Linked DNA regions of Notamacropus eugenii. The protein of the gene in region 4 purifies or fractionates together with the protein of the main gene of each other region. This does not show direct contact. Links are inferred from orthologs where the notes say so. Each region holds a gene or a part of one and is shown on either strand. Other genes may lie near its edges.

Region 1 (7,752 bases), on a different chromosome or scaffold from region 4:
AGAGTGCTTCATTATCAATGCAGTAGGTTTCATCTGTGTTTTCTACTAACTGGTGGACAGAGAGTGTGGCATTGTAGGGCTCAACTACGGTATCTGAGACTTTGGGTGATGGAACCACACTAAAGGTATTCATGATTCGGTCAGGGTACTCTTCTCGGATCTTGCTGATGAGTAGGGTGCCCATCCCTGAGCCTGTGCCTCCACCAAGTGAGTGGGTCAGCTGGAAGCCTTGCAGGCAATCGCAGCTCTCTGCCTCCTTTCGTACCACATCCAAGACTGAATCCACTAGCTCTGCCCCCTCGGTATAGTGGCCTTTGGCCCAATTGTTGCCTGCCCCGGATTGGCCTGGAATTGGGGGTGGGAAGCAGGGTAGATGAGGAAGGGATGCTGTGATATCCCACACTACCACCAACCCTTTCCCCTATCACCTAAGATTTTTTATCCACCTATACCTTAGAACAGAGGTGTCAGACATGCCCAGATTAAAATATAATTGAGAAATATTTAAATAAAAATTGAAATATAGTAACACAGATAACATTAATGTGTGCTTTTCTAACCAAATATGCAGCCAGCAAGGATCCTTAATTTAGTGGTCCCTCTTTCTAAGTTTGACATTACTGCCTTAGAGATCCTCTTAGCTAATGTTCAACCCCTCAATCATTCCCCTTATTTTGCCTCCATCCAGGTCACCCCTACTTTTCTAGAACTCTTCTGGCCACAACCTACATTGAACCTGTATCCCAGTTTTGAAGTTTCTAATTCCTTTCCCCCATCATTCTGCACTGATAAGATCCCCCTAAAGACTCCTCAATTATCTGAAAACACCAGTATGTTAATTTGCTTCTGTTTTAAATTTACTTCCACAAGATCCTAACCTATCCAGGGGATTCAAACCCCTTCTTAATGAAGAACCTTCAAATTCAAGAGTGATGATTATTTGGGAATTTACCTGGGGTAACTGCCAGTAATGAAATATTCTCTTCCCCACCCACTTTCCCAGTGGCAAAGCTACCACCTCTCTACCCTTTTTCATTACATTATTTAAGAAATTCACTTCAACTCACCAAAAACAAAGTTGTCTGGCCTGAATATCTGGCCAAAAGGTCCAGAACGAACAGAGTCCATGGTTCCAGGCTCAAGATCAACCAGTATGGCCCGGGGAACATATTTGCCACCTGTAGGAGAAAGTGCAGAGTAGGTGTAGGCTGGAGAAAGAAAGGGAGGGCTCCGGGGGTCCCTTAATACGTGGCCCTCCCGCTTCCATTCTAGTTTTTACCACCAGGTGGCAGTCGAGAACTAGTCTGCGATTACCCGTGGAAGAAAGGGGGGTGTGTGCGTAAAGGCGAAGAGGAAGATGACCAGAGCCTCTGGAAAGTGGAGAAAGAGTCTCCCAAGGGTAAATGGTTCCCCCCTATTTCAGAAGGCAGAATCGAGGGGAGAGTTCCCTTCCTGCCCCTCACCGGTGGCCTCATTGTAGTAGACAGAGATCCGGTCCAACTGCAGGTCGCTGTCCCCATGGTAGGTGCCAGTGGGATCGATGCCATGTTCATCACTTATCACCTCCCAGAACTAGGCAGACAGACGAGTAAAAAGTTGAGAAGAAAAATCGATTAAAAATTCTCCTCCCCCACTTTCATGATAGGCTCTCAATTCCAAAACTGCTCAATCCAGGAGTCATTTTTTTCCCCTAAAAAACCCAGGGGATTTCCTCCCCCTCCCTTCCTGGAACAGATGGGATGCACAGGAAGCTTGTTACAGGATTATCCTGCCCTATAAATGCACGAGATAATAGGACTGAAGGAGGCCGACTCATTCCAGGTAATCCAGGAGGACGGTTGAGGCCAGATGCCTGGGTCTCTGGCTAGGAAAGATAAAGGTCACTGTCGCCCTCCCCTTCTTCCCCCATCAGGCAACGCCCCTCCGATGCGCACAAAGAAAAAGGCACTGCAGCTGCTACCCACCCATCCCGCAGAACTCACTATAGAGCGAGGCTGTGGGAGGTGCGAGAAAGGAAAGGGGGAAAATGATGGACAATGGGAGCCAAGGGTGGGGCTCCTTTCCTCTATCCAGCATGGCCCTGGAGCGCAAGGGAGTTCTTGCCCCGCCCCAACCGGGCTCCGCCCTTTTGCCACAACGTTGCAAACTCTCCTTCCCACTTCCTTTCAACCCCCATCCGTTACACAGTATCTTCGAACTGGGGGGCAGGGAGAAGGATCACTTTTACCCTAAAATGTTGTTTCTTTGCTACAGTTTCCATTTTTTTTCTCATTATGTATTGGATTCGCTTTCCTTGTCACCCATTTTTTAACTCTTTGTCCTTGTGGAACTATCCACAAGGAACACTAGACAACGCGCGGGAACTCGCACCCTACCCCACCCCACCCCCGCTCCCGCCCTTAAAGGGAGGGCTTTCAGAAAGGGAAGGGGGAAAAGTCCCCTCACCCTTCCACCTCACAAAGGAGAACGAGAGAAATTAGGAAAATTCCACGTTTCATATATTTTTTGGGGGGGAGGGTGGACTACGAGTCCCCCCCAAACCCCACCTTCCTATTTCATCCCCTTTTTCTCCAGCTCAGTGCACAATGCAGCTCCTCACCTTTCCCTTAGGATTCGGGCAAGAGTCACAGTTTTGGGCGGGGAGAGACAGAGAGAGGCAGAGATGCACATGGGACAGCACTGGCCTCGCTTTGTCTCGCGCGTTTCCGTTCATCCATCTCCGACACAAAAGTCTCTTAGAGATCCCTTTTACACCTTCCCTCAACCCCAGCCCCAAAACCACAAGGGGAAAGAGACACACCTTCCAGTTAATCCATTAAAATCTTAAATAATTTTATTGGTCCCTTCTTAACGGATAGAAAGGACCAGGTTGCGACACGCCAACAAAACTAAACCAGGTAAGAGAATAAGGGGAGAAAAGCTACAGATTTCTCTAATGAAAATTCCCGCCGCAAAGAAATGCTTAGATTATTTATTTGTTGGGTCGTGCTGCTTTGGGCAGGGAGCGGGAGCTAGCGACAGTCCCGCCACTACTTTTTTTTTTTAGGAAATCTTTTAAATTTTCTTTCCTTTAAAAAAAAAAATCAATGGAGGTGAAAAGAATATGTAAAATCAAAATCCTTACCTTTGCACCGATCTGATTGCCACACTGGCCAGCCTGGATATGTACGATTTCCCTCATGGTTGGAATTTACTTTTGCTTTGTCTCAAGTTATGTGCAGGGAGGAGAGAATGATATATAAATATATATATTTTCTCCTTTCCGCTGAACAAGCTCTTTTTCAATAGAAGGTTCCCCGGAAGGTTGGAGCTGCTAGTTCAGAACACAGCTACACAAGCGTTCTGAGAGGGAGAAAGAAGGAAGGGGGGAGGGGAAGCGAGGGAGGAGAAGCAGGGCGGGTCGCGCTTGCGCTGCGTGGCCTGAGGGGAGGGAACCATGAAGAGGTAGGCGCCAGCTATATCGTGGACAAAGCCTGTCTAAAGAAGAACTGATTGGTCCATACCAGGCAAGTGTCTGGTACCCATTGGCCGCTCCTCCGGGGATCAAGCGCTATCTTCACCGGGAAATGTAGTTCTCTATTGTTGTCCACGCTGCAAAATGAAGAAGGGAGGAGTGGGGTGGGTGTGGGATATTTTTTTTATGAATAAAAAAAAAATTAGGCATGGCATTCCACTGTTTTGAGGTCTTTTTTTTTTTTTCAATTAGACATTAGAGGAGACTAGGATTTAGGTCTGTAGTAAGTGGAAAGTCTAGGGAAGCGAGGTAGTGATGTGATTTCAGGATTGGTATGTCCTGGGACTTCCTGCTGCAGCATTCCTACCACTGGCCTGCTAAATTCAAAGAAATGTAGGGAGAACCAAGTATGAGCTTGGGATAGACAGTTACAGGACTCACTGATCTTTCCAGGACTCAGGTGTCTAGCCTCTGATACCCCGAAGTTCCAGTTCTTTCTTGCGATCTTCAACCCCATCCTTATTTGCCTCACTGATCTACATCACCCACACATCTCAGCAATCCACCTCTTTTTCCTCTCAGGGGATAGTCACAATGGATGGAGTAGTGGTTTTTGCTCAGTGGGTGATTTCCTTGGGCGTTTTTGGATAAGGGTATTTTAAATACCCAAAGAGAAAATTACGCTAGAGACATTTCAGGACACAGATGCATCTGTCAAAAAAAAAAATGACTGGAAGGGACATGTATAATGAATTTGTGAAAGAAAACCTGACTCTTGGGAAGTCAGATACCTGGGTCCCTGAGGTGTATTCCTATGAATAGAACTGCGGTAATTGATCCAGGGAAGTCTAAGCTGAGATAAGGAGAGAAAATGGCTGAGGGGTTCAATAACTCATACATTTTCATGGCACTTTTATCTTGCCTCCCCAAATGTAGGACCCTTAAAAAGTATCAATGAATTTATAGGAGGTAGCTGTTTCCACACCCCATTCAAATCAATGTCCCTAGTATGGTGGATGTCATAGCAACATGGTCACCATGGTAACCCTTCCTAGGCACCTGAGCTGGAGATGAGGACCATTAGAAGGAAGAAAGATTGGGCTTGGGGACAGAGGGAGAAGAAATGAGTTTAGTTCAAATTCAGACATTTCTCATAGGGTCACTTTTCCATGGAACATAGAGGCATGGAGAGATATAATACTGTTTTAGAGTGATGTTATAAAATAACTAGGATTTATAAAATACTACAGGGTTTTCATAGCAATATATGTATAATATATACATATATGTCATCCCATTTGATTCTCACAGCAACCTTGTGTGGTAGGTGCTATATTTATTCTCATTTTACAGATAGTAGAAGTTAAAATGACTTAGGGTTCAAATTCAGATCTTCCTACCTCTGAGTCCAGCACTCTATCCGTTATCCATAGTCCTAGTAGGAGAAAGTTATATCATGTTATCAGTGGTGAGATTTGTCCAAGGAGCAAGTGATGTAATCATTTCCTTATTGAAAATTAGGTGAACTGGGACTTCTGGTTACATATAGGACTGCTTCATATAATATTCTATATAATATATACATACATATATAATATATTATTACATATGATGTATAATACTATATATAGTATTCACATAATATTTTATTTTTGAATAATAACACAAAGAACAGTAAGTCATATATATACATATGTGTGTATGCATGTATTTACATATACATATATTATTTTGAAGGTAGGTATTTCAGGTTTTATGCCCATTTAGAGAACTGGGATTGGACCTGTGGTTTCTTTTGTACAGTGAATTTCTTCCACTAGTAAAAATCTATACTTCTCTGCAACTTGTAGTTTTAAGAGAATTACCTAGGGCACTGAGAAGTTGTCAGGCCTGCACAACCAGCCCTGGGAGCTAACGACCCTCAGACTGATTATAGCATGCCAAAGGATTTGGGGGAAAGGGGGGGGGGGAACCTACAAAAAAATGTACAGGAAAACATCCTTTGTATGTAGAAGAAATCCTTGCCACAAGTTGTTCAGGCCTGAGTTAAGTGGCTTTATAATAGTCTGTAAGATCTGCATTCCCTATTCTATTTTAAAAGATGTTTTATTATGTTTTGTTTTTTTACACTTTATCACTTCCCAATAATCCTTCTTAGTATAATATTCCATTACATTTGTATGCCACAATTTGTTCAGCAACTCTCCAGTCAATAAATTACTTTTAAAATTACAAGCATTTTTTTCTGTTGTTTCTATTCCCACTGAATAGGGAATATTCTGAAAAAAGAAAAAAATATTCTGAAAAAAAGAAAAAAAATCCTTGTAACAAATATGAATAGTAAAATAAATTCCTACATTGGCAATGTTTTAATATGTATGTCTTATTCTGCATATTTGGTCCATTCCGAGTAACATTCTTCACCAACAGTCTTTTAGAATCATAATTGGTCATTGTGTTGGTCAGAATTCTTATGTATTTCCAATGTGTTTATTTTTACACTGTTGTTATGGTACAAATTGTTCTTCTTGTTCATTTAAGATCAGCTGATAAAAGTCTCCAGAACTGTCCATTTTATCATTTCTTACAGCAGAATAGTATTCCATTATATTTGCATACCAAAATTAGTTTAGCCATTCCCCTAGTAGATAGTTCCCCCTTACTTTCCAATTTTTTGTTACCTCAGAAAGATCTGTTACAAATGTTTTTCCCATTAACCCATTTTCATATGGGTTCTTTCCCTCTCTCTTCATAGTAAGTTGTATGGCTGGGTCAAATCATGTGCACAATTTAGTAACTTTTGGGGGGCATACTTCCAAATTGCTTTTCAGAGTGGCTGGACCAATTAAAAAACTCCACAAACAATGCATATATCTGTTTTCCCTGAGCTCCTACAACATTTACCGTTTTCCTTTTTTGTCACCTTTGATGATCTGATGATTTGGAACATTTTTAAAATATGGCTATTGATAACTTGTATTTTTTCCTGTGAGACTTCCTTGTTCATATCCTTTGTCATTTGGGGAATGACTAATTCTTCCAATCAATTTCTTATATATCCAGAAAATGAGACAATTATTAGAGAAACTTACTGCAAAACTTAACTATCTCTCTGTTAAGCTTAGCTACATTGATTGTGTTTGTGCAAAACTTTTAATTTTACATAGTCAAAATTGTCCATTTTATCTTATGTAATCCTTTGGTCACAGACTTTTCCCCTATCCAGATAAGAAAGGTAATTTCTTCCTTTCTCCTTCATTTTATTTATGTGACCTTTTAAATCTAAGTCATATAACCATTCGGATCTTATCTTGGTAAATAATGTGAGGTGTTGGTCTAAATCAGACTACTTTCCAGTTTTACTAGCAGTTTTTGTCAAACAGTGAATCTCTTCCTCAATAGTTGGGGTCATTTGACGTAATCACCCTGGTGAAGTCCTTCCTCACTTCAGATCTAGACTATTTCTATAGCCTGCTGGTTGGTCTCCCTGCCTTTCCCCACTCCACTCCATCCTTCATTCAGCAGTCAAATTGATATTCCTAAAGGGCAGATTTGACCATTTCATCTCCCTATTCAATAAACTCCACTGGCTCCCTAATACCCAAGATCAGATATAAAATCTGTTTGGCTTTTAAAGCCCTTTGTAATTTGGTTTTTTCTACCTTTCTTGTTTTCTCACGCCTTATTCCTCTACACATACTTGGCAGTCCTGTGACATTGGCCTCCTTGCTGTTGTTCCGAGACAATCCATCTCCTGACTCTAGGCATTTTCATTGCCTGTTTCCCAAGCCTAGAATGCTCTCCCTCCTTACAGCCACCTCATAGTTTCCGTAGCTTCTTTCAAATTTCAGTTAAAATCCCACCTTCTGCAATAACTCTTTCCCAAACCTCCATTCTCTTTGTGCCTTCCCTTTAAGGTTATGCCCAATTTATCATATATATATATATATATATCATTATATATTATTATATTATAGTATAGTATACATTATAGTATATATTTAATAATATATTATATTATATATTATAATATATTATATATATATCATGTTTATACACAATTATTTGCATGTTATTTCCTTCCCCCCCCCACCATTAATATGTGAGCTTCTTGAGAGCAGGGCCCAGTTTTGTTTGTCTGTGGACTTTTTTGGATCCCTAGGGCTTAGCACAATTCCTGACATATAATAGACACATAATTAACAAATACTAGTTGATGGGAAAAAAAAAACTTTATAGCAAGTTTCTTTGATAAAGGCCTCACTTCTCAAATATGTAATGAACTAAATCAAATTTAT
Region 2 (8,219 bases), on a different chromosome or scaffold from region 4:
ACTTCCTCATTGAGGAATTTGCTCCAATATCAATGGCATCACAGTCTAACCCTTCATCATTTAATAGTTGATATGGAAGACTGAAAGGTTAGCTGACTTTGGCACCTAGATGGTGGGGAGTGGGGCAGGAACTTTCACTTACCCGCTGGCGCAGGTGAAAAGTAGGTGGCTTGGAACTGCCACTGCTGTAGCTTGTGGAAGGCAGGGGTTCCTGGAAGCTGGTCCTGGTCTTGGCTGCTGGGATGGCTCCAATATCAGTCTCCCCATAAGTCTTGGTAGTTGAGTAACTCTCTTCATAGTAATTGTCATAGTCAACTAGAAGAGTCAGAGGAAGAAAAGGGTAGAGTGCCAGAGACCAAGGCTTTGGTAGAAGCAGCTAAGTGGGGCAATACCACCTGGGCACTGGAGGCACGAAGACCTGAGATCAAATCTGGCCTCAAACACTCACTAGCTGTGACCTTTCACTGCTGTCTGCCTTAGTTTCCATCCTGTAAAGTGGGGAGAATAAGAACATCTATACTCCCAGGGTTGCTGTGAGGCCCAAAGGATAATATTTGTAAAGTGCTAAGCACAGTGCCCAGCACATAGTAAGCACTATATAAATGTTGGAGGCCAAGGACTCCAGACTTGGGCTTAGAACAGCCTTGTACATTTGGAACTATGCCCAAAGGTCTACAAAAATGCGTATACCCTTTGACCCAGCAATATCACTTCTAGGACTGTATCCCAAAGAGATCATAAAAATGGGAAAGAGTCCCACATTTATTTATATTTATATATTTTATTTAATATCTATTAAATTTATTAAGTTATTATAATTATTAAAATAATACAATTATTAAATTGTTAGAATTTATTAAATTTATTATTTGATAAATATTTGTTAAATTTATTGTTGATTATTAAAATAATATAATTATTCAATTAATATAATTATTAAATTATTAGAACTTATTAAATTTAATATATTTATAGCAGCTCTCTTTGTGGTGGCCAAAAACTGGAAATCAAGGGGATGCCCATCAACTGGGGAATGGCTAAACAAGTTGTAGCATATGAATGTAATGGAATACTATTGTGCTATAAGAAATGATGAACAGAAAGACTTTAGAGAGACCTGGAAAGATTTATATAAACTGATGTTGAGTGAAAGGAGCAGAACCACACAGCCACAACCACAGTGTGTGATGAATTTTTCTGGTGGACTTAACCCACAGCAATGCAAGGACCTAAAAAAATTCCCAATGGACTCAAGGCAAAACGCCTTCCACATCAAGAGAAAGAACTAAGGAATTGGATTGCAGAATGAAGCAGACCATTTTCTCTTGTGTTATGTTTTGTTTTATGGTTTCTCCCATTCATTTTAATTCTTCTATGCAATGTGACTAAGGTAAAAATGTACTTAATAAGAATGTATGTGTAGAACCTATATAAGATTGCACGCCGTCTCAGGGAGGGAGTGGGGAAGGAGGGGAAAGATATATGGAAGTGATTGCAGAAAACTGAAAATAAAATAATTTAACAAAAAAAAAAAGAACAGACTTGCAGGCTGCCAAGGTCAGGCCCCAAGTGAGTTGCCTCCAACTATGAAATAATTACAGTCATCCTTGCTTCCCAAACTACCTGCTGTGGCTAATCCATGAAATGAGATCATGAATGAATGAATGGGCAGGCAATGTGACTGGGAGGAAAAGATGTCCATGCAAACAATAAGGATAACAGAAGCCAGCCCAGCCCAGTTGGGCCCTGGCACACTAATGCCAGGCTCAGCCAGAATCATAGGTCTCCTCCCTCACCTTTATCAGTGAGAGCCCTTGGAGCCTCGCTTGGGAGCAGCTCATATTTGTCTAGCCCAAAAGTACTGGCTTCTAGCTGCAGAGAGGGACAAGGGGTCACAGAACAACCAACCATGCACTTTGCCTCCAAACAGCCCCATGGCACTGCAGGCAGCTAGGGAAAGGCAATGCCAAACCAGGCCAGGCCCTACCACTCCTTAGGGTGAACCTGAAGCCTTCTAGGATACAGGAACCACACTCACCTTCATCACCTTCATCCATGTCCTCATCTTCATCCTGTCCCTGTCTGGAACCATAAGCTTCACCCTCAAAATCCTCTGTGGCACAACAGAAAGATACACTGTGAGAAAAGTTGCCTTCCTTAGTCACACTCCCCAAGTCATCCCACAACTGGAGAAGCATTTCATTTCTGCTCAATGAGTCCCACCCTTCCTCCTCACCTGCATATTGGTAAGAAGAGCTGGCAGTCACAGGGGAAAGCTTGGTTCTCTGACTTTCATATTCATAGATTTTCTTTTCATACAGTTTTCGGGTTGAACCTAGATTCACGGACGGACAGGTGAGTGTTCCCAGAGGTCCCAGAGAGCATCCCCCAAGTTTGGAGGGCCTTTGGAACTCAGGGGGGCCTGAGTGGTGATGGGGTGGGAAGGTGCACCCATGACGGGAGAAATCACAGAACTCCCACCAATCCACCAGGAGATCTCACGCTCTTACCGTGCAGGTGTCAATCAACAATATGCCCGATCACATTCGGTTTCAAGCGCTGAGGATCGGGAGGTGGCTTCTTGGGCATGGGACCCGCCAGAAAGGGCCTAGGTGCCCTCAGTTTACATATGGGATTGGGGGCGGGGCAGGCGGCCTCACCTACTCGGTGCCCTACCACACCCCCTAGGCTCCAGGAGGGATGGCGGAGATGTCGCCCCTTCCCTCTCCCCTCTCCCGGCTCCCTCCTCTCTCTGCCCCTCCCTCCTCGTCCACACTCACCCACGACGGGCCCGTGGGGGATGTTGTAGAGCTTCAGCAGGCGAGCGAGCTCCTGGTCCGAGAGGCCGCGGTAGTCCTCCATGGCGGACACCTAGGGGGAAGCCCGACGGGGCGGGCGCGGGTGAGCCGCAGCGATTCGAGAAGCTTCGACGTTCCTCGGCCGCCCGGCCCGCCCTGAGGAGAGAAGCCAGGGGCGGGAGTGCTTACCAGACAGGGCAGAGATGGCTGATCTCCTCAGCAAGCGAGCGAGCGAGCGAGGGACGCGACGGCGACGGCGGGCGGGCGGGCGACGACAGGCGCGACGGGAAGTGAGCGCCGGGGCGTGGTCTGGGCGTGGCCAGAGCCGAGGGGCGGGGCCTGTCCGGCCGGGGGCGCCAAGGCCCGAGCCCAGGGGCGGCGGGGGGCGGGGCTTGGCGAGCAAAGGGGCGAGGCGGGGCTGAGCAGGGACTGCGGGGGCGAGGCTGAGCTGGCCGACAGGGGAGGCCAAGGGGGCGGGGCCCAAGGCTCCAACTGCAGAGCCAAGGGCGCTAAGTGTCCATAAGGATCTCAGTGGTAGCCTAGTGCCTGTTTGCATGGCTCGTATTTTCTCGTCTTTTTATTCATTTTGCGAGGCACTGCCCAGTGCTGTTTTGGAGGCCCTTTGGTGTGGACCCCGTGGATTTGGCTCCTCAGACAGGGCAACAAAGCCTAACCATGAAACATTGTTACGTATTTTCCCCCCAGAACTTAAGAAGCATCCCTAAAAAGGATGAACCTCACCCAAACACATAGCAAAATAAATAATGCGGAAAAAATCAGGGCTCTCTAGCACATTCTTCAGGGGCCCCTGGGACCTCCCATTGTCTGGGTCTGTGGAAGGGGCAGCCACACAGTCCCTACCCCATTGATCATGCTTGACCACATGCCCTTGTGAGGCAGAGCCCTGTGCCCCCACTTCTGGCCTTGTATGGGAAGAAGCAGGAGGGGCTTTGGAGTCTGGGGTCGTTTAGGTCATTCTTCTCTCGTTGCTGACTCATCTTCAGCCCCTGTAATTGGAGAACTTGCCTGTTCTGTAGCTACATAACAACAGAGGCTCTGGGCAGAAATCTGGTAGGGCAGCCATCAAAGTTGTTGTGTTGTGGTTTGTCCTTACTCAAAAAGGACCAGGACATCTGGGAGATGATGATATGACTTGCATGGAATTGGATTTGACTGACCATCAAATGCACTAAACAGCCCCAGCTCCTTGAAACTCCCTCCCATTTCTATACAAACAAGGCCAGTGAAGGGCGCACAGTAGCTAGAACATACAAAATGGCCCTGAATCCCAAGAACCCCCTGCCATTTCTACATAAAGCTTCTGGCCAGTAAAAGAAAAAATTCACTTGCCAAAAGCACAACAGCCCAAGACTAGATTTTGCAGTGTTTTTTCTTATCCTCCACCCAGAGCAGCTCATGAAACAGTAAAATACCATAACCCCCTCCCCCTCTCCAGCCTGCTGAACTATTTTGGCTTCTGCTGCTGCAATTACACTCAACAAGAATTTATTTTCCACCAGCAGCTTTCCTTAGTTTCCATTTCACAAAATTCATGTCCCTACAAGATACTCTTGGTGGCTCCTGACCCCCTTTTCAGCTTTCTTTTGTGTATTGTGCTTGCCCCATTAGATTGTGAACTCCTTGAGAGCAGAGGCCCTCTTTCTTTTTCTTATCTGTATCCTCAGCGCTTAGCACAGTATCTGGGACATAGGAGGTACTTAATATATCTTTACTGACTATTTCTTAAGAGTTTGGGATGCATGACCAACAAGATGGCAGCCTAGATATTTTCACAGATCCTCAGGAACTCTCAGACCTCTCCAAAATGGGAATTATGAGTGGGAGCTAAAGCAATTTCAGCTCTCTACAGGGTATAAGACATCAAATATCCAAACAAGGTAAAAACTAAATTAACCAACAACAGAAAAAGCCAACATTCCCTACCCTCTAATGAGCCCTCACCCAACATCCCCTCCTCTGCCATTCACTAAGCTCCATTCATTGGCAACAGACCTCAATTCCATACCCACCCCCAACCCCCATCCCTACCCACAGTGCAGTAGAGATCCAAACTCCAAATAGCAGAAGTTCACTCAGGCTGTCATAGCAGCATGGCAGCATTCTGTGCCATCGGACCAGAGAACTGAGGGACAGAGAGAATGGGCAAAAGGGGGAAGAGGAAGTAAGAAATGTATGGCACTTCATTGAGCCTGAGAAAAAGAGCCCAGCATGCAGGTGTGGCCAGTTCTACCCACTAAAAGTCATTTGGAGCAGAGACCTAGTAAAGGCTAGTAAACCAGGAATTAACCAGCAAAGGAGGCTGAGACACTTAACATCCAGCCCCTATGAAAACCATCAAAGGGGAGGGAGTGAGAAAGTAAGCAATAGAGGAAGGAAGCTATTTTTTAAAAAGATTAAAAGTACCAGAGGAAGAAGCAGATAAATTGGTCATGAAGAGCTTTGAAAGTCAAACAGAACATTTTGTATTTGATCTTGGAGGCAAAAGGGAGCAACTGGAGTTTACTGAGTACACTGGGGGAGGAGGTAGAGGGTGACAACATAATCTTACCTGCACTTTAGGAAAATCATTTAGTAGCTAAATGGAAGGTGGACTAGAAAGGAGAGAGATGAAGCAGGCAGACCCACCAGCAAACTATTGAAGTAGTCTAGAAGCACGGAGATGAGGACTTGCACAAGGGGGATGGCAGTATCAGAGAAGAAAAGATGAAATATTAGAGAAATATTGCAGAGATGAGATGGACAGATCTTGATAACAACTTGGATATGGGGGGGGGGGGTGAAAGATAGTGAGGAATCCAGGATGACTCCTGGACTGAGAGACTAAGGTGCTAGGAGGGTGGTGATGAACTCTACAGTAAAAAGGAAAGATGGGAGAGAAGAGAGAGGGTTTAGGGGGACAGAAAATGAGTTCTATTTTGGATATATTGAGTTTAAGATGTCTACTGAAAATCTAGTTCAAGATGTCTGAAAGGCAGTTGGAGATTAGAGAGTGGAGACCAACAGAGAGATTGGGCCAGGAAAGGAAGATGTGAAAATGGTCAGCATAGAGATGGTAATTAAACTCATGGGATCTGATGAGATCAGCAAGTGAAATAGTGTAGAAGGAGGAGAGAAGAGAGCCAGGACAGAACCCTGAGGGATTTTAAGTGTCCCTCCAGTGGAGGGTGTGATTTGGATTAGGATCCAGCAAAAGAGATAGACAAGGAGATGTCAGAGAGGTAGTAGGATCCCAAAGTAGTAGTAAGATCCCAAGTAAAATCAGTGTTTAAAAGAAAGAACCCAAAATAGGAACCTCAAAAGGCTTAATTCCACAAGATACACAGAGAAAAGAGAATGACTAAATAAATTTGTGGGCCATGAATCAAAGAATAAAGGTCTAAACTAGGCAGAAAGGGAAGATAAGTGATGAAGAGAATGAAAGAAAGAACTTCTTTTTAGAAAAAAGATACAGGAAATAAAAATTTTAAAAACTAACAAAGCACTGATCAGGAGGAGAAAAAAGAGAATTCTACTTGATTACTTAACCAAGAGGGGGAAAAGAAGGGAAGAATTAAATAAATAAATTTTAAAAAATAAGAAACTAATAAGCAAAACTCCAAAAATCAGGAAAAGGAGCAAAAAATAGAAAATGGGACTTGTGGATGAAGGGGGAAAAGCCAGTGGGAATAGGGCCACCTTAAAAAAAAGATTAAGGTAAAATAACTGAAGAGACATTATACTGTGTTTAGAATGGGAAAAAAACCCGTAATTTGTAGAAAAACAGCATTAGGAAAAACTGGAGGAAAACATAAACCCAATTTGTAGCTTTAAACGTGATTGGGTTAAACAATCCATAAAATGAAAGAAAGTGACAGATTGAATAATAAAACAAAACTCCACAGTCTGATTCTTACAAGAAACATATTTTTTGAAAAAATGGGGAGGCAGAGCCAAGATGGTGGAGTAGAAGGACAAACCTGCTCTATGTCTCCCCCCATTGCCCATAAATACCTGTAAAAATGACTAAACAAATTCTAAAGCAGCAGAAGCCAAAAAATGACAGAATGAAACAGATTTCCAGCCCAAGACAGCCTGGAAGGCCAACAGGAAGGGCCTACTGCACCAGGTTCAGCACAGAGCACAGCCTGGTCTTGGCATGCAGCAAGGACAGGACTGGAGCATGTCTCAGGGTGCGGAAGCATGGGTAGCAGCTGAGTCTCCCAAATTTCTCAACCCACAACACCAAAGATAGTTTCAAAGGTCAGTAAGAAAGCTCTTTCACCTGGATGGGAGGGGAGCATGATCTGGCCCCAGCCCTGGCCCCAGGGCAGCAGCAGCCACTGCAGCAGCAGCGTCCACTTTTAGAGCCCTTGGCCTAAAGACCCTGGGGGAATCAAAGAGCTGATCTTCGTCCCAGTCCAGAGTAGCAGTCATGGGGTGAGAAGGAGCACTGGTGCTGGAGTGGTGGAGCAGGTGGTGACTGTGGAGAGGGAACCCTATTCATAATTTCAGGACAGAAATGAGTGATTGTGGTTGCTCACAGATCAGAGTACAGGCCAGGAGATTGTGCCCTTAATTGTGCCACCTTAGAGGAACTGAGAACTTACAGGTCCCTGGAGTATACCCTCCACTTGACAAAGGACTCAAAAGTCAAGTAACTGGCTGGGGAAATGTCCAAAAAAGGGGAAAAAAATAAGACTACAAAAGGTTACTTTCTTGATGAAAAGGTATTTTCTTCCATCCTTTCAGATAAGGAAGAACAATGATTACCATCAGAGGAGGACATCAAAGGCAAAGCTTCTACATCCAAAGCCTCCAAAAAAAATATGCAATGGTCTCAGGCCATGGAAAAGCTCAAAAAGGATTTTGAAAATCAAGTAAAAGAGGTGGAGGAAAAATTGGGAAAAGAAACGATAATGATGCAAGAAAATCATGAAAAAGAAGTCAACAGCTTGCTAAAGGAGACCCAAAAAAATGCTGAAAAAAATAACACCTTTAAAATTAGACTAACCCAAATGGCAAAAGAGGTCAAAAAAGCCAATGAGGAGAAGAATCCTTTAAAAAGAAGAATTAGCAAACTGGAAAAGAAGATTCAAAAGCTCACTGAAGAAAATAGTTCTTTAAAAATTAGAATGGAGCAAATAGAAGCTAATGACTTCATGAGAAACCAAGAAATTACAAAACTAAACCAAAAGAATGAAAAAATAGTAGACAATGTGAAATATCTCATTGGAAAAACAACTGACTTGGAAAATAGATCCAGGAGAGACAATTTAAAAATTATTGGTCTCCCTGAAAACCATGATCAAAAGAAGAGCCTAGACATTATCTTCCAAGAAATTATCAAGGAAAACTGCCCGGATATTCTAGAAGCAGAGGGTAACATAGAAATGGAAAGAATTCCCCAATCACCTCCTGAAA
Region 3 (8,320 bases), on a different chromosome or scaffold from region 4:
TTTGTCATCTTTGCCAATTTGCAGGGTATTCAGTCAAACTTCAGGGTTGTTTTGATGGGTGTTTCTGAGTCGCCCTGATGAATATCAGGCCACTGAATCCAGAAGGCTCAAGAGGATAAAGTGAGGTTAGTGACCTTGCACAGCCCTGCCTCACTCAAATCAAAGTCAACCGCAAGTCATGTCACCATCTTGATGTCATGGTCCTCTTTGAGAACGAAGGATAACAATCTGTGAGTGAGTGGCAACTTTTCTCTCCCCTCCCTTCCCCTCTCCTCTGGTGTTCTACCCAGGGGAAGGTACACTCCTTGGCCAAAAGTTGCCTTTTTTTCTTTGGGTTTACTGGCTACATCTCTCGCTCAAAGAGCAAGTCTTAAGCCCAAATCATTCTGGAGCTCAAGACTAGACAAGTCCCCACCCACCTAACACAGACTGAATGTAATAACTAAATAGTAACTGTTTCTCTTTTACCCAGGAACCCTGAGGGTCTTCTCCTGCCCAGTTTGATTTTTTTTTTTTTATTAAAGGGGCCATCCCTTGAGTAACTTAAAGATGCTTATTCATTGAATGGGTGTACCTCACTCAAAGTGAAAATGTGATAAGACCTTAGTTTGAATGGGCCAGGGTCATTGTATCCAGGGTCATCTCCAGTCATCCTGATGAATATCAGGCCACTGGACCCAGATGGCTCAGAAGAAGAAAGTGAGGTTGGTGACCTTGCACAACCCTCCTTCACTCAAATGAAAGTCAACTGCAAGTCATGTCATCATCTTGATGTCATGGTCCTCTTCAAGAACGAAGGACAAAACTCAAAAACCTATTATCAGTGATCTGGAATATTCTTTCATGTGGCTGTTAATAGTTTGCAGTTCTCCTTTTGACATCTCTTTCCTGCCATCCTTTGAAAGCTTCTCTGTTGGGGAATTAGAGCTATCCATGTCACATGGTAGGTTTTGAGGCATTTGAAGGTCTTTGCCCCGAGGCTAGATGATGTTCCTCAAGTATGTTGTGGAGGAGATGTCTTCTGGGAATGGGGTCGGGCAGCCTCTTCCAACTCTTAATCCTAGCAAATGTAGCATTTCTTCTGCGGCTTTCCTCTCTTTGGTCCCATTTAGATGCCCAAGACTAATGCCAAGGAGTTTGAGGATGTAGACAGGGGGAGAAAAGAGAACTTTTTTCTATACATTATCTATAGGGTATTTAAACACATTAGCTCAGTGCTACCAACTGGACTAACCCACAACTTCAACATGTCCAGAAGACATTCTCTTTTCTCTCCAAGCCTCTCTTCATACCGACTTTTTTATTATTGTCAAATGCACCACTAACCTTCCAGTCATAGGCCTATTAGTGATTGGATTTTAGAAGCACTTATGAACTACTGAAACTTCTTAAGGAGGAGACTGACTTAGCAGGACCAGTGATCTAGGGAAATCATTCTGGTAGCAGCCATGTGGAGGATGCAAGAAAGTGAAGGTAGAGACCAGTTAGGGGGTATTTATTATAGTTGTTCAAATGAAAAGAGATGTGGTCCCGATAGGAGGGAAAACCAGTTGGGAGAGGGGGCAGCCTGAGAGTGAAAAGGGAGGGGAAAATGATGATCTGGTGGTACAATTCACAAAACAGAGTCAAGAAAGACTCCAGGGTTGTGAACCAGTGTAGCTGCAAAGATGGTGGTGCTCTCAACAGGTGTCAGGAACACAGGATGTCAGAATCAGAAAGGCTTCCAGAGTCTCCTTGGGGTCACGGTTATATTTTCCATATTAAAAAAAAAAAAAGCAATGAGACTTTAATGACATTTCGGATAGTTTGGGGCTTAAATATTGGGGTATTTCTTTTGTATAAATTTCACCTACCTATTCTATCACTGAGCCCACACCTCACTCTCCTCTCCAGTCTTCAATCTCTCCCTATCTATTAGGTGCTTCCCCCACTGCCTACAATCACACACTCCATGCTGGGGTGTGCTGGTAAATGTTCAGGAACCATCTCTCCAGGGGGGCAAATGTAAGGCAGGGCATATTTTTAAGTGTAATCTACATTATTAAAACTTTCTTAAGTTTAGACAATTAACAAAATAATTCAAGTTCTGATCTGCAACAATTTCCAAAGCGTAAATGCTCACATTGAAAATTTAATCATCAGCTCCCAAGCAGGTTGGAGCTGGCTCCAGGATATCCCTGCACCTGCATTTCCCCATCCTTAAAGTCCATCCCTCCATCTTAATGTCTCTCCCCTCCCTTCAGTGCCTCAGTTCTTTGGAGATCACCTACACGAGGTGCCTTGGTTTCTCCTCACTCCAAAATCATCCATGATCTGCCAATCACTCTGTTTCTCAGTCCACAGCCTTTGACACCACTGATCACCCTCTTCTCTTCATCATACTTTTCTCTCCAGGTTGCTGTTTCCTGGTTCTCCTCCTACATGTCTGACCTCTCCTTCTCTGTCTTCCCCCCTTGCCCTGGATAGCTGTGGCTGCGGACCAAGGTCTTGTCCTGGGTCCTCTTTCCTTCTCATTCTGTATTCTGACACTGGTGATTTCATCAACTATCATGGACTCAGTTATCTCTGAGTAGGTGGCTCTGGGGTCTCCTTGGGCAGCCCTAACTTCCCTGCTGATCTCCAGGCTTGCAAACTACTCAGTGGGTACCTCAAACTGAGTGTTCTGCACACATCTTAAACTGAAAAAAAGCAACTCATTTTCTTTTCCCCAAATCCTTCCCTCATCCTAACTTTCCTGTTCCTGTTGAGAGCCCCCTTCCTCCCTGTCCCTGAAGCTCACTTCAGCCCACAGACAATCAGTTGTCAAGACCTGCATTTCTCCAACACACCAGTGTCAAAGTGTGCAACTGAGAAACAGTCAGAGCAATTGGCAGATCACTAGTGGTTTTGGAGTGAGGAGAAACCAAGGCACCACGAGGTGATCTCCAAAGAATTGAAGCACTAAAGGGAGGGGAGAGACATTAAGATGGGGGGATGGACTTTGAGGATGGGAGATGCAGCTGCAGGGGTATCTGCTTTCCTTCCCTGACACCCCTCCCTCCATGCAATCACCTCTAGTGGCTCCCAATTGCCTTCAGGATCAGACACAGAATCCTGTTTGGTTTTTACAGCCTTTTGTATCCTGCTGCCTTCCAACCGTCTCAGTCTTCTTATACCTAATACTCTGAGTGCAGTGATACTTCCTCCTTGTTCACATTACGCTCCATCTCCCAACTCCAGGCATTTTCCCTGACTGTCCCCTCCACCTGGAGAGCTCCCCCTCCTCCTTTGTGTCCCCTGGCTTCCCTTGAGTTCCAGCTAAATTTTTGCTTTCCCTGAAAAGTTCTCCCCAATGCTCCTTTGTGTTCCTTCTCTCCAAGTCGGCCTCTCTCTACCTTGTTTGCAGACTGACTTCTGTATGTGGTCTCCCCCTTCTTTAGGGCAGGGACAGCCTTTCTTTGCACCCCACCGCGTTTAGCTCAGTGCCTGGTAGACTGGTATCTAGCAGGCAATTAATAAATGCTTACTGATTTAAGTTTCCACAAAAATAACCTTAGTCAATCAGATGTGATACAAAAACCTAGCTAAGATACAACCAATGTTTTCCCCTACCTACCAGTCTCATAAAGCATCCAAAAAGGCAATCTGGTCGTTGGGCCTGATTTGTTTCAATTAAGCCAGGCTGCCTCTTGGAGGTCACTGCTTCCTTGTCTAGATCTTTAGCCCTTAACAAAGGAGGCAAAGTGGAGCTCCCTGGCCTACATCTGGCAGACTCCGTTTATCTTTCCTTGGTCTTCTGCAGCCCTGGGCTTCCCCTCCCATTCTCCAGGATCCCTCTGAGGTCACATCTGCTCATTTCTGGGTTCCAAAGGTGTCACTCTTACCTGGACCTTTGAGGGCCCACGATCTTGAACCCCAAGAATCCCTGGAAGGAAACTGTACCTATCTGAGAGAACCGAGTCAGGGAGCGGCTTACGAGGCCCCACGCTGTCCTGGCTTTGGGGATCTCCAGGGGTGATGTGGGTGTCACCGAAGGGAGGGCCTCAGACAAAGGGGAGAGCTGGGTCATTTCTAAATCGTTGGCACAGACCTGGCAACATTCACACACTTCACAACTCTTTCCTGTTCTTTTCCTCTCCGTCCTGGGGAGCCGCTCACGACCTCCTCAGCTCTGCTGATTCCTCTGGGCTCTTTATCTAATGAGACTGTAGCCCCTGCCCCCCAGGGCCTGGAAGGGGCCAGCTGGGCCCTCACTGATGGGGACCTGGCCCCCAACCTCGCTCATCTGTGAAATGGGGGGGCCTAGAGCAGAGCCTGCCTCACAGCGGGGAGTCAGGACCCGGCCCCTGCAGTGCTGCCTCCCGGGGTCCTAGACTCCCTCCAGGGGCTGGTGGGTCCCTGCAAGAACAGCAGCCCACCCCCAGATGTGGGGCCGCAGGGTCATTCTGCAGATGGGGAAACTGAGGTCAGGCAGGGTTCCGGTGTGGAAAGGCGCGCGTGCGCACACGGTGTTTGATCAAGGCCTGGCTGGGGGGGGGGTGGGGCTCTCACCATCCGGGTTATCAGGCAGGCCCCGACCCTTCCTTAGCCCATTATACCGATGGGGTGCCCTGGCCTCGGGAGGCGGCCCAGCCCCGCACAAGGATGGGGGGAGGGCTCTTGGACGCTACAAGGGCCTCTTTTCATTGGACAGACGGGGAAACCGAGGCAGGTGGCGTCTGAGGGGCTGGCACGGGGTCCCGGCTTCCCCCGCACCACGCTGGGTCCCCCCCGCCCCCCGGGGTCGCACCCCAGCTCCCCTCCGGAAGGCCCAGCAGCCCAGCGGGGCTCAAGATGTCCGCCGCCGGGCGACCAGACACCACACGTGGGCAGGCTGCACCCGGCGCCACGTGCTCCACCGCACTCCGCCGCGTTCCGCCGCGTTCCATTCCGCTCCCGAGCGTGCCCCACTCGCCGGCCAATCAGCGTGCCGCTCCCACCTCGAGTCCCGCGCGCTCGCGCGCCCTGCGCCCCGCCCCGGCGCGCCCCGCGTTCCTTCTGCCCCGCCCCCTAGGCCGGACTCGCTCTGGGATTGGCTGGCGCTGGCTCGGGGGCGGGGAGCAGGAGCTGGTTGGCCGCGGGGGCGTCACGGGGTCGGGACGAGCTCCTTTCCAGTCGCGCCGAGGGGGCAGGCTCAGTCTTTCGTCTCAGTCTCAGCCAGCAAAGGGCTGCTCGCGGACGGACTCCTGCCCGCGCTCTCCACCACCACCGACGTTGCCTCGGCCTCGGCCAACGGATCTGCACCCTCCGCGCCGTAGTCACGCGCCGCCACCATGGTGAAGCTAGGGAAGGTGAGAGGCGGCGGCCTAGCGCCTCCACGCGCCCCCGGGGCTGCGGGGCCTAGCGGGCCTGAGCGGGCGGGAGCGGGGAGGAGCGCGACGGCGCGTGCGCAGCGCGGGGCTCCCGGGAAGTCTCGCGCGACTCGGCGCCGCCGTGGCCGTCGCTGCTTCTGCTGCCCCTGCGGGCGGGAGGCGGAGGGCCCTGGGAGCCGGGAGCCCAGAGCAGCGGGAGGGAAGGCGGGGAGGGAGGCCGCGCGTGCGCGCTGGGAGCCGAAGGGGGGGGGGGGGAGCTCCGGGGCGGGGGCCGCCATGAGGTCATCTCCGTGCGCCCAGCTCCCGCTGGCGCACGTGTCCAAGCCGCGCGCACGTGGGCGCGGGGCTCGCCCGCCATGTGGCCCCTGTCTGACAGACCCGAGCCGGGGCCGCGTTCGCGTCCGCGGGTGGGGCGGCATCGGGGAGGGCTCAATCCTCCGTCTCTGGGTGCGCGCGGACCTCGGGTCCCTTATCTGTCAGAAGAGCAAGTCTGACCACGTGGCCCCGGTCCAGCTGACCCCTTACGTCCCGATGTCCGACTCCTCCCTGGGGTGGCTGGGGGCGGCAGCGGCCCTGCCCTAATGGAGAGGAGCTGGGCACTGACTGCCCTGCAGGACCCCAGGAAAGTGCAGGGGATGGGGGGAATCAGCCCCTAGGAGGCTGAACTCTTAGCTCGTGCTTTCGGCCCACGTGGCCTTGCTGCGGGGAGTCCTAGTCAGCCCGAGTCAAGGGGTTGGGAAAGTCGGGGCCATGTGAGACCTCGCTCGGGTCCTGGTTCACAGTGAATGTTAAAGCTGTTTACTGGAATGTGGCGAAGTCGTTCCCTTGAAACAGGCTGGAGCCGGCACTCTTTGTTGTCTTGGAGCACTTCGCCTTTTAACCTGGTGATCTTCCATTTCAGTGTGTGGGAAGCCCGAAGTGGACCGGCATTTTCAAATATTCTGAACTTGTTGGTATCAGGAGGGAGGCTAGAAAGGGGGAAACCTTTCCAGAAGGAGGACTGCTTAACCTGAAATGAAGGGTTTTAGACCCATTTTAAAGCTGGTAAATTTTATAAGTGTAATTGTTATGGTTGATGCTTCTGAAGAGCACTTGAGAGAACTTGTGCTGCTGGAATATAAATGTTGTGCTCTTTTGGTCTTTTATTCTAGGCTGCTAAAAATCAAGCTGAGCCAAAGAAAATGGCTCCTCCCCCAAAGGAGGTAGATGACAGTGAAGATGAGGATATGTCAGAAGATGAGGAAGAAAGCAGTGGAGAAGAGGTAACTTTGCAACTTCATCCAGAAATGATTAGTTTTGTTCTGTAAAGAAAAAGAGGAGCAAACCAAGCTCTTCAGAGTTTAGAAAGGAATTTGTAGGCAAGAATTTCACTATAGCTTGATCCTGTGTAATTGTTTCATTGGCATCTGTTCATTTTAAATGTTCATTAGATGAAGAATCATTTTGGGGGGCCTGGTCACAGCAATTTTCAAATCTGGGTTTGATTTAAGGGAGAAATTAAGTAACAATCCAGACTATTTGGGGGGGTAGGCAGCTTGATTCATTTCTCATTTAAGGGCAGAGGTGAGTCTTGGGCACCACACTCTTTTCTAGGAAAGATGCTTGGTAGTACACATCTCAATGTGGAGTTAGATGAAATTTACAGGGCTTTTGTGAGCACTTTCTGGACTTTGCCCAGGGCATGTAAATGTGGGCTAATTAATGCTCGCAACTAGGCAGGACCCCTGCCAGCAGCTTTTGTTGGGCTGATTGAGTCCATTGATTGAACTAGAGTTGTGGGCTGTTAGAACAACTCTGGCACAACTAAATATGATGGGCTCACTGAGGTGATGATGTCCTTGGAAGGTAAGAAATATTCAATGTTGACAGAAAACAGTGTTGATTTAGACACTTTAAAAATCTAGCATAGCCTTCAAAAGTAGAGGTCCAGACATTAACTTGGATAGCTGGGATGTAAATTCTATCCAAAAGTGAGAAAGTACCTAAAGTACAGACTTGGCTCCTTTCCATATACTTGACTGTTTGCTGGTCTGTAAAACAGGTTAGACCAAGTTCTTTCCTAGCTCTGACATGACTTGGGAGGATTGGGAATTTCTGAATCTAGAGTCCTTAAGAGGCAGTATCCTAGTGGCAAGCTAGGATTACAGACCTTTGTTCAGAGGGTAACGTCCAAGCCCCTCCTGGGTGAAGAGCCCTGGCAAGCCCGAGGGAGATATTTAGACCAAACTCCCTCAGGGAGCTTATCCTCTAGCAGTTTGGACCGAGTTGGGTGTGCAGTACTTTATGGTAGCTGGCGTGGAACAAATTGTATGATGTACCCAAAATAGAGCAGAGTAACTAGTGGAGCTGCATTGCCCTCTTTGGCAGCCAGAATACACTGTTGGATTGAATTAGCCATGTACAGTGCCTGCTCCTCCCTCCACCTTTCCAAACAGTTTGTAGTCCAGGCCTGACTTTTGAGTTCCAGCACTTCATACCTGTGTGAGCAAGTCCTCAGGGTGCAGCTTGTAGGAGAGATGGATGGGGGGGGGGAATCAAATGACCTCCCTTGTTTGTTCTTTAGCTCCTTAGAGTCTGGCTCGATATTTTTGTCTTGAGCTGTTCTTTTTAGGTTAAAAAAATGTTTTGTGAATTGTAACACTTGGTAAATGAAAATTATTATTACTAGGTTGTAGTTCCTCAGAAGAAAGGCAAAAAGGCTGTGGTGGCCACACCAGCAAAGAAGGTACCACCGGCCAAAAAGGCTGTTGCTGCTGCCATGCCAGCCAAGAAAGCAGCTGTGACTCCTGGTAAGAAGGTGTCCACCCCCACCCCAGCCAAGAAGGCAGCAACCCCCGCCAAAGCTGCCATCACACCAGGCAAGAAAGGAGCTACTCCAGCTAAACTAGCTGCCACCCCAGCAAAAGCAGCAGCCCCTCCAGCCAAAGGGGCAAAGAATGGAAAGAACGCCAAGAAGGAGGACAGCGAGTCTGAGGAAGACGACAGTGAAG
Region 4 (7,571 bases):
CATTTTCTCTTATCCAGTCTCAACATTCCTAGTTCCTTCAGTCAGTTCTTAAGTGACATGAACTCTAGGCTCTTCACCCTTCTGGATGACCTTAACAGAAATCCAGTTTATCAATGTGCTTCTAAAACTGTGCTGCCCAGAACATAACACAAAACTCAAGTGTCTTCAGGGTTATGTGCAGCAGGACTATGACCTCCTTCTACATATAGTCTGGCATGACAAAAAATAAAACAAAACAGTGAAAAATTCTATCCTATGAACCTATTTGCATCAGTTTTCTCAACTGTAAAATGACAGTAATAACAGCACCTACCTCCCAAGGTTGTCGTGAGGATCAGATGAGATAATATTTGTAAAGCACTTAGCACAGTGCCTAGCACCATTATTATTTGTAGGAGTTGTGATGGTATCACTACTACTACCACCACCACATCTACCACCACCACCACCATCATCACCACTACCACCACCAACCACTCTAAGAGGTTGTTTTCCTTTTTAAAATGAGGTACTGTGAATTCTATCCACCGAATGAGAAAATGATAAACTATTAAATTTTAAGTCAGTCTTCCACTGCCCTGAACACTGGCAGTGTTACACCTACTTTTGAGTGCCTTTATCACAGGACCCATCAAATGTTCCTGTACTGGAGAGTATAATGCAATTTTGAACTACCTCAGAAAGATATGGGTACAATACTAAGCTCCCTGATCTGCAGAGTGTCTAGGAAGATATAAGGGTTTCAGACATATGCCAGGACTTCAGTCTAACAACTCCTATGGACAGTACAGATAAAATCCAGCTTACACACCAGACTGTTTCCAGAGGATTCTTGATACCATCAATTACCTTAGACCTAATTCAAACATTAATTGGAGAAGGGAAATGTCGGTCACCTGATAAACACAAACTTACTTAACTGAAAAAGTTAACATGAGAGGTCATCAGACTACAACAAAATCAAAAATCTATCTATAAGTACCAGAGGACATGGACTATGTTTTAATTATCTTTATGTTTAGGTCTATCACAGTACTTCATAGAAAATAATCATTTAATAAATGTGTTGCTGAAATGAAATATTGGAATATGCCATAGGGGAAATTTTTATTTTAGTCTAATAGTAACCTAGTGTTGAAAAATATAAAAAAGTCTTTATCATATCTTTGTTTTAATTTTATTTTGCTTACATCTCAACTCAAACTGAAAAAAAATAAATGGTAACGGGGAAAAGAGAATGTGTTTTTCTTGCCATGTAAAGTACTACACAAAATTACCTAGTTGTCTTTGGACTTGATCATAAAATACAAATGAAATATAACTTGCAGTGTTAGCACTGCACAAAAGCACTCTCTAGATACTGCAAAGCAAACTCAGTCAATGGATGGAAACAAAGAAGAGTAGCAATAAGAGATATTACTGAGTCCAATCTATATGTATGACAAAGTGGATTTGGAGTCAGAGGGCTTGGGTCTGGAACCTTCCCTCTAATATTAATGTCTGAGTGACCTAGATCAAATTAGTTATCCTTTGTGACTCCGTTTCCTAACTTGTAACATGAATTAGATTTGATAACTCCTGAGATTACTTCCAGTTCTACATCTAAGATCTTTTGAACAGTACTAAGGAAAAATTTTATATCCCAAGTGAGGATCTTAACAATATAGCTAATATCTTAATTCGGTTTCACATTTTTAAGCACTTAGAGGAAGCTAAGTAGTTAGACTAGGTCTGAAATCAGGAAAACCAGAGTTCAAATATGACCCCAAGCACTTACTAACAGTGTGACTTAAAACAAGTTATTTAATCTCTATTTGCTTTAATCCACTGGAGAAGGAAATGGCAAACAACTTCAGTATCTTTGCCAAAAACAAAACAAAACAAAACAAAAAAGAAAACAACCATGTATGGTCCACAGGATCGCAAAGAGTCAGGAGTCAGACAGGACTGAACAGCAACATAGGACTTACCAAGTAAAAGACACTGTACTGTTGCGGGAAATGCAAAGATAAAAAGGAGTTTTTTGTTGTGTGACAATATGTAACACAACTGATTAACTTGGCTAAATATTTTAGTGGCCATATGAGCTACAGTACTACACTTTGAACCATGATAAATGGTTAAATATTTGTATTCATACATTTATTTCTCACCTGAGATCATCTTCATTCCCCTAATACCTACCGGCTTCTCCACCTTATTAGCTCCCTCCTCCAACAATTCCACTACAATTGTCATCTGTCAATGTATTTTATGCTATTATTTAAAGGCTAGTTCAATGAGTCACTATCCTTTTGCACTAAAAAAAATGTTCAAAAAACATTTAACACCCTCACCATTTTAAAAATCACAGCAAGCACAAAAACAGTGTATTCTTAATAATAAGACCAAGTATATAAGGGGTTCATTAGGACAGTTTCTCCCAAGATCTTTGAGTTTAAAATATTTCTTTCCAAAAAGGAAAGGGAAAAGATAAAATCAAGCGTATTTTACCTGCTGCACACCTGCGACTCTCATGTAGGAATCCAAAACAAGCAGCAAAGGCATATGGACATTTTTGCCTTTAAATAACTTGGAAGCTGGGGAAGAAAACAAACGAAAACTATTATTCGCTGCAGCTTTTTAAAAGCAGAAGAATGAAAGAAAATAAGAGAAAGCAAGTCCTTTCGTTTTCAATTCTTTTCCTAAAAGCGATCTGTGCTCCCCGAAAAGGCTGAGCCAATGCAGAAAACTGTCTGCAAGAAGATTCCTTGGAAGGGCCCGTGCTTTTACGGACGTGGTTATATTCCTTCTATTGCCATATTTGCCCCAAGTTTAAAAAAAAAAAGGAAACAACTACAGGATTACCGTGATCAGAGTACGTTAACATCAGCATATCCTCTAGTATCTGGATCAGGGTTTCTATCTGTTTTCCTTCCTGCACATTTTGCAGCCTAACTATCAATTTCTTCAGAGTTTCCTCTTCTTTTTCTTCATCCCCGAGGCTGCAGCCACTGGCCATGACGGACCCGACTCCTTCCCGAGGTGCCCCCTGCCCCTAACTCTGAGCCGGAGTGCTCCAAGACTGAACTGGGGAAGGCTGACCCAGCGGATTCCAGAAAGTCCCCAATGCAGGCATGCTCTGTGGCTTTGGCCTGTTTGGGAAAACAGCCCCTACCCCGCCCTTCCTTCTACGTCTTCCTAGCGCCCCACCCCAGGGCCGGAAAATGAATTCGATGCAAACTTTGAGGGGAGGAGATAAGAGGAAGCCGCTAGAAGCCGCTAATCCTGGCATCTTCTAATCCAGTCTGTCATAAATCCAAAATTACTGCAACTAGAGCACCAGTCGGGCCTGGATTCTGGTCCCCAGGAGTACTGACCTGCCCAGAGACCAAGGCAGATGGACTCCAGTAGGCTGGATTTAAAAGATTAAGGATTACTTAGCCCTAACCAGCAGAGCAGAGGAATTCTGGTTAGAATGCAAGAGATTGCTACAGGGGAGTGACAGCTCAGAGAGGGAGTGGGAGAGACAGACTGGAGAGGGAGTGGGAGAGAAAGCCTCCAAGAGCTCAGGGAACCTAGGAAAGAAAGGCATGGTAATTTAGTTCCTTCCTTACAAATAGAAAGCCAAGATTTTGTTAGAAAAGGCATTGTCCCTTGGAAGGGACAAACACTTTGGGATTTAAATCCTGACATTAACTGAACATGAGTGTCCTCAATTTTGTAACTATTTAAGAACGTAGCCAACCTTTGGCATGAAGAATTCACAACAGTGAGAGAATGCAAATAAAGGCATGGCTCTGGAATTTGGGGATGGCAATCACTGTCCAAAAGAAACTGCCTGAGCTCGGGATTTTTTGTTTTGCTTTTTAATTTGGATGAGACCAACTTCAATTTTATCACATGGATTTTGTTGTGATTCTTGGGTTTGAGCCATTGGAGGAGGCATTTGAAAAGATGTTAAATTCTCCCCAGAAGCCCAGAGATATTTCCTGAAATGTTAGAGATGTTGACAAATATATTGGAGATATAGACAAATGTGACAATTGCATCCCATCTAATTTCTCTGAAGACAGGTAAATGATGCTGCATTAACATAAAAAAAACTTCTCTCTCTCCCTCCCTCTCCATTCCTCCTTCTATCCACTGTCCTGTCTAGATGCCCATACACGCATATATATACATATATAGAGTCTACGTATATATGTATATATTCACGCATATATAGACTTTCTATGTATTTATAGATATACATATATATGTAAAATCTGCAGAATTGTCAGACACATGTCCATTACCTACTGATAGTGTCTCTTGGATAAATAAATTGCAGTTATTTGTCTCTATTATGTGCTGGTTTATTTTGGCAGTAGCTAATAAGGACTCTCAAAATCTTCTCAAGACAGTCCCAGAGGAATTTCTAGCTTTCTCACTTTTTGTGTTATTCTGTCTTTTCCCCATTCTATTATACTTCCACTGTATGAACTCCATACTGTCATATCCCTCTATGTCAAACCAGCCAGCAGCCCCCTCTTTGACTCCCTGACTAGCCTTGGTGGCTGGTTTCCTGTTCTGCTCATTGGCTTTAAGGCTTCCTGCCAGTCATACTTATAGGTCAGCAAAATCTATATTCCATGTGTTTAAGAGTGACTGAGTCAAAAGCCCAGCCACAACATAGGCATTATCAGTTTGATGTTGCATAAATTTAGATATCTGTTCAACTAGCTAATACGGATAGGCCAGCACAAATCAGATGAACAAGTTTTAATGACAGTCAGTGTAACATACCCCACCAGAAGTTGCTAGCACTTCACAATTCAGCTAGGAATATGACAAAAATGAATAACCTGAAGCAGTGTCTGTGTAAATAAACAATTTATGAATTAAGCTAGCTGATAATCAATAAATGGATGATTAATGGTTTTTCTCAGTAACCAAAGACACTTAAGGGAGACACTGAATGCTTTAAATATTTTTTTTGAAAGAGCATGCCCCTGATTGGAGAAATCAATCCTGATTGGTAGAATCCTACCAAGATGGGAAAAAGTTTTCAGATCCTTCTACTAAAAACATGGCTTGGTCATGAGATGCAGCCTCCTCCAGCAATCTGAATAGAGGAATCCATCTCTCCCCAGAACAAACTAATTGGTTTTTGCCCTCATAAGCTGGGTTACAGTAAACTATAATGAAGGGGTGCCAGGGTGTACTTTTAATGCCATGAGGCTGAAATCTACCTGGATTAGATTATGTTTACACTTTAGATAGAAATAAGGTCTCCTAGTTGTGTATGTTCAGGCCAGTGACCAACTGACTGACTAGGTAGCCTCACTGTGGAGAAGCAGCTACCTCCAAGTTCAGCAAATGAATACTCCATGTTACTCGTGTCTCTGCCCACAAGAAAGGTCCCTTCTCACAAAAATGTTATGGAATAAATGAGCTGACCAGGGCTGTGCAGCTCAGATAGTTTCCATTGCCCAATGAATTCATGCTTGCATAGGCCATAATAATGAGAAAATTATGCAGCAGTGAACCCATGAGAGAGAACTCCACATCACACATAGTATATCAGGCCATGACCCCAAATACTGCAAACCTTGTCCATTCTGAAGATACATCCTAAATCCCCTGCCCAGGAAGATCCCATGATGGGAATGGGCCAACACACTCTTGAAAAATTGACTATATAAGACCATTACCACAAAAAAGAGTTCTCTGTATATTCTGATCGCCTATACAGAGTGTGGAGTCACCAACCTGATAATAAGTCTATCATCAAAGGCCTAGGAAAGGATACCTCCCTCTAACTAGGATACTAGACTAGAGTCTTAATTGAGTATGGGACATTACGTGATCAGACTGGCCCTTTAGGGAAATCACTTTGGTGATTGAATGGATAAGATGGATTGGATTTAAAAGAAGCTTATGACAGGGAAACCAACCAGCAAGGCATTCCAATAGTCCAGATGTAAGTGATGAGGGCCAGCACCAAGCTGGTGACACTATAAGAAGATAGAAGGGGATACACTTTAGAGATGTTGCAAAGGTGAAATCAACAGACCTTGGCAACCGGCAGAGATAGTGAGGATGTCTAGGTTAAAAGCCTAGACAACTAAAAGGATGGTGCTACTTTTGACAGTAAAATAAAAATTTACAGGAGGTGAGGACTTAGGGAGAAAAATAATGACTTCCATTTTGGACAGGTTGAGTTTAAGATATCATTTGATATCTAGTTTGAGATGTTTGAAAGGCAGTTGGAGATGTTATATTAGAGATCAGTAGAAAGGTTAGGGGTGGATAAGTAGATTTGAGAATCATCAGCACAGAGATAATAATTAAATCCATGGGAGTTGATGAGTACATCAAATGAAGTAGTACAGAAGGAGAGAAAGGTCTGTCTAGGACAGAAAAAGGATCTTATGGGACACTCATGACCTGAATAATAATCCAGTAAAGGAGACTAAGAAGAATGAGTCTGATAAGCAGGAGGAGAAGCAGAAAAAGTTGTGTCCTGAAAACTTAGAGAGAAGTTAGTATCAAGTGGGAGAGACTGATAGTATTAAAGGCTACAGCAAAGTCAAAGGATTGAGAAAAAGCCTCTGGATTTGGCAAGTAGAAGATCATTAGTAATGTTGGAGGGAGTGGTTTCAATGCAATGATGAGATCAAAAAAAGATTGTAAAAGGCTAAGAAGGCAAGAAAATGGAGGTATCTATTGCAGATGATCTTTTTGAAGAGTTCAGATACAAAGGGCAAAAGAGATATATAGGATGATAGTAAGGATGGAAGGATCAATTGAAGGTTTTTTTGAGGATAGGGAAGACATGGGCATGTTTTTAGGTTGTGGAAAGAGCTAGTAGACAGGGAAAGATTGAAGATAAGTGAGAGAGGAGGGATGACTGACAGATATTTTGTCAGATGGGGCAGATTGGAATGGGATCCCTTATGGAGAGGTTTGCCTTGTCAAAATAGTACAACCTCTACATGTGTGTTTGGGGTCAAGAAATAGTGGCAGAAGCCATCTGAGTGATATCAGACAAGGAGAAAGGGAGAAGGGACTCTGAGCAAAGGGCCTCAGTTGTTTTTTTTTTTCAGTAGAATATGAGAAAAAAGTTCTCAGCTGAGGTGGGGCCACAGTCATGTTTTGAAGTTTGAGGGAAGTGTGGAGGGTGTTCTGGAGAGAGTTTCTGCTATTTTGGGGCTCCCTAGCCATTTCCTTCACAGCCAAGAGGTACCTCCTCACAAGGCTGGGGAGAATCAGTTTGCTGCTTATTGCAGTTGGAGTGGAAAGCACTGGGTGGGATGTGCCAATAAATTCTCTGAAGAAAAAGGGGGATCTAGACATAAACTCATAAGTGGACTTGTACATCTCTGCTAGACAGGTTACAGGCTAATCTAAGAGGGGTGCTCAATAAGGATTTTATGGTTTTAATAAGTATTCTCTTGTGTTAATTTGTAAGATTTTTAACATATCATGTTTGTTGTTTTCTTATTCTGTGGATTTACCTATAATTATTCTACATCTGGTTCATAATTCCTGTTTTTTTCAGGGGAGAGTTGATGGGTCCTAAGGGAAAATGTCTATTTAGCTATCTC

What was found.
Region 1: the proteins of LRRK2 (region 4) and TUBB purify together in Homo sapiens (co-immunoprecipitation; 5 studies listed by BioGRID and IntAct, with this or other methods). This does not show direct contact. The link is inferred for Notamacropus eugenii from reciprocal best matches to the Homo sapiens genes LRRK2 and TUBB.
Region 2: the proteins of LRRK2 (region 4) and EMD purify together in Homo sapiens (co-immunoprecipitation; 3 studies listed by IntAct). This does not show direct contact. The link is inferred for Notamacropus eugenii from reciprocal best matches to the Homo sapiens genes LRRK2 and EMD.
Region 3: the proteins of LRRK2 (region 4) and NCL purify together in Homo sapiens (co-immunoprecipitation; 3 studies listed by BioGRID and IntAct, with this or other methods). This does not show direct contact. The link is inferred for Notamacropus eugenii from reciprocal best matches to the Homo sapiens genes LRRK2 and NCL.

Annotation. Positions count from the first base shown.
Region 1 is NC_092873.1:84,575,726-84,583,477, reverse strand, and holds the start of TUBB (tubulin beta chain), read right to left. Parts: upstream 3,600-7,752; 5' UTR 3,182-3,599; coding exon 3,125-3,181; intron 1,573-3,124; coding exon 1,464-1,572; intron 1,179-1,463; coding exon 1,068-1,178; intron 346-1,067; coding exon 1-345. UniProt on the Homo sapiens protein: Tubulin is the major constituent of microtubules, a cylinder consisting of laterally associated linear protofilaments composed of alpha- and beta-tubulin heterodimers.
Region 2 is NC_092879.1:9,700,067-9,708,285, forward strand, and holds the start of EMD (emerin), read right to left. Parts: upstream 3,170-8,219; 5' UTR 2,988-3,169; intron 2,872-2,987; 5' UTR 2,863-2,871; coding exon 2,781-2,862; intron 2,336-2,780; coding exon 2,237-2,335; intron 2,114-2,236; coding exon 2,039-2,113; intron 316-2,038; coding exon 143-315; intron 1-142. UniProt on the Homo sapiens protein: Stabilizes and promotes the formation of a nuclear actin cortical network. Stimulates actin polymerization in vitro by binding and stabilizing the pointed end of growing filaments. Inhibits beta-catenin activity by preventing its accumulation in the nucleus.
Region 3 is NC_092873.1:58,565,852-58,574,171, forward strand, and holds the start of NCL (nucleolin), read left to right. Parts: upstream 1-5,009; 5' UTR 5,010-5,291; coding exon 5,292-5,309; intron 5,310-6,481; coding exon 6,482-6,592; intron 6,593-7,998; coding exon 7,999-8,320. UniProt on the Homo sapiens protein: Nucleolin is the major nucleolar protein of growing eukaryotic cells. It is found associated with intranucleolar chromatin and pre-ribosomal particles. It induces chromatin decondensation by binding to histone H1.
Region 4 is NC_092874.1:212,966,310-212,973,880, reverse strand, and holds the start of LRRK2 (leucine-rich repeat serine/threonine-protein kinase 2), read right to left. Parts: upstream 3,162-7,571; 5' UTR 3,002-3,161; coding exon 2,848-3,001; intron 2,580-2,847; coding exon 2,494-2,579; intron 2,488-2,493; exon of another isoform or gene 1-2,487. UniProt on the Homo sapiens protein: Serine/threonine-protein kinase which phosphorylates a broad range of proteins involved in multiple processes such as neuronal plasticity, innate immunity, autophagy, and vesicle trafficking.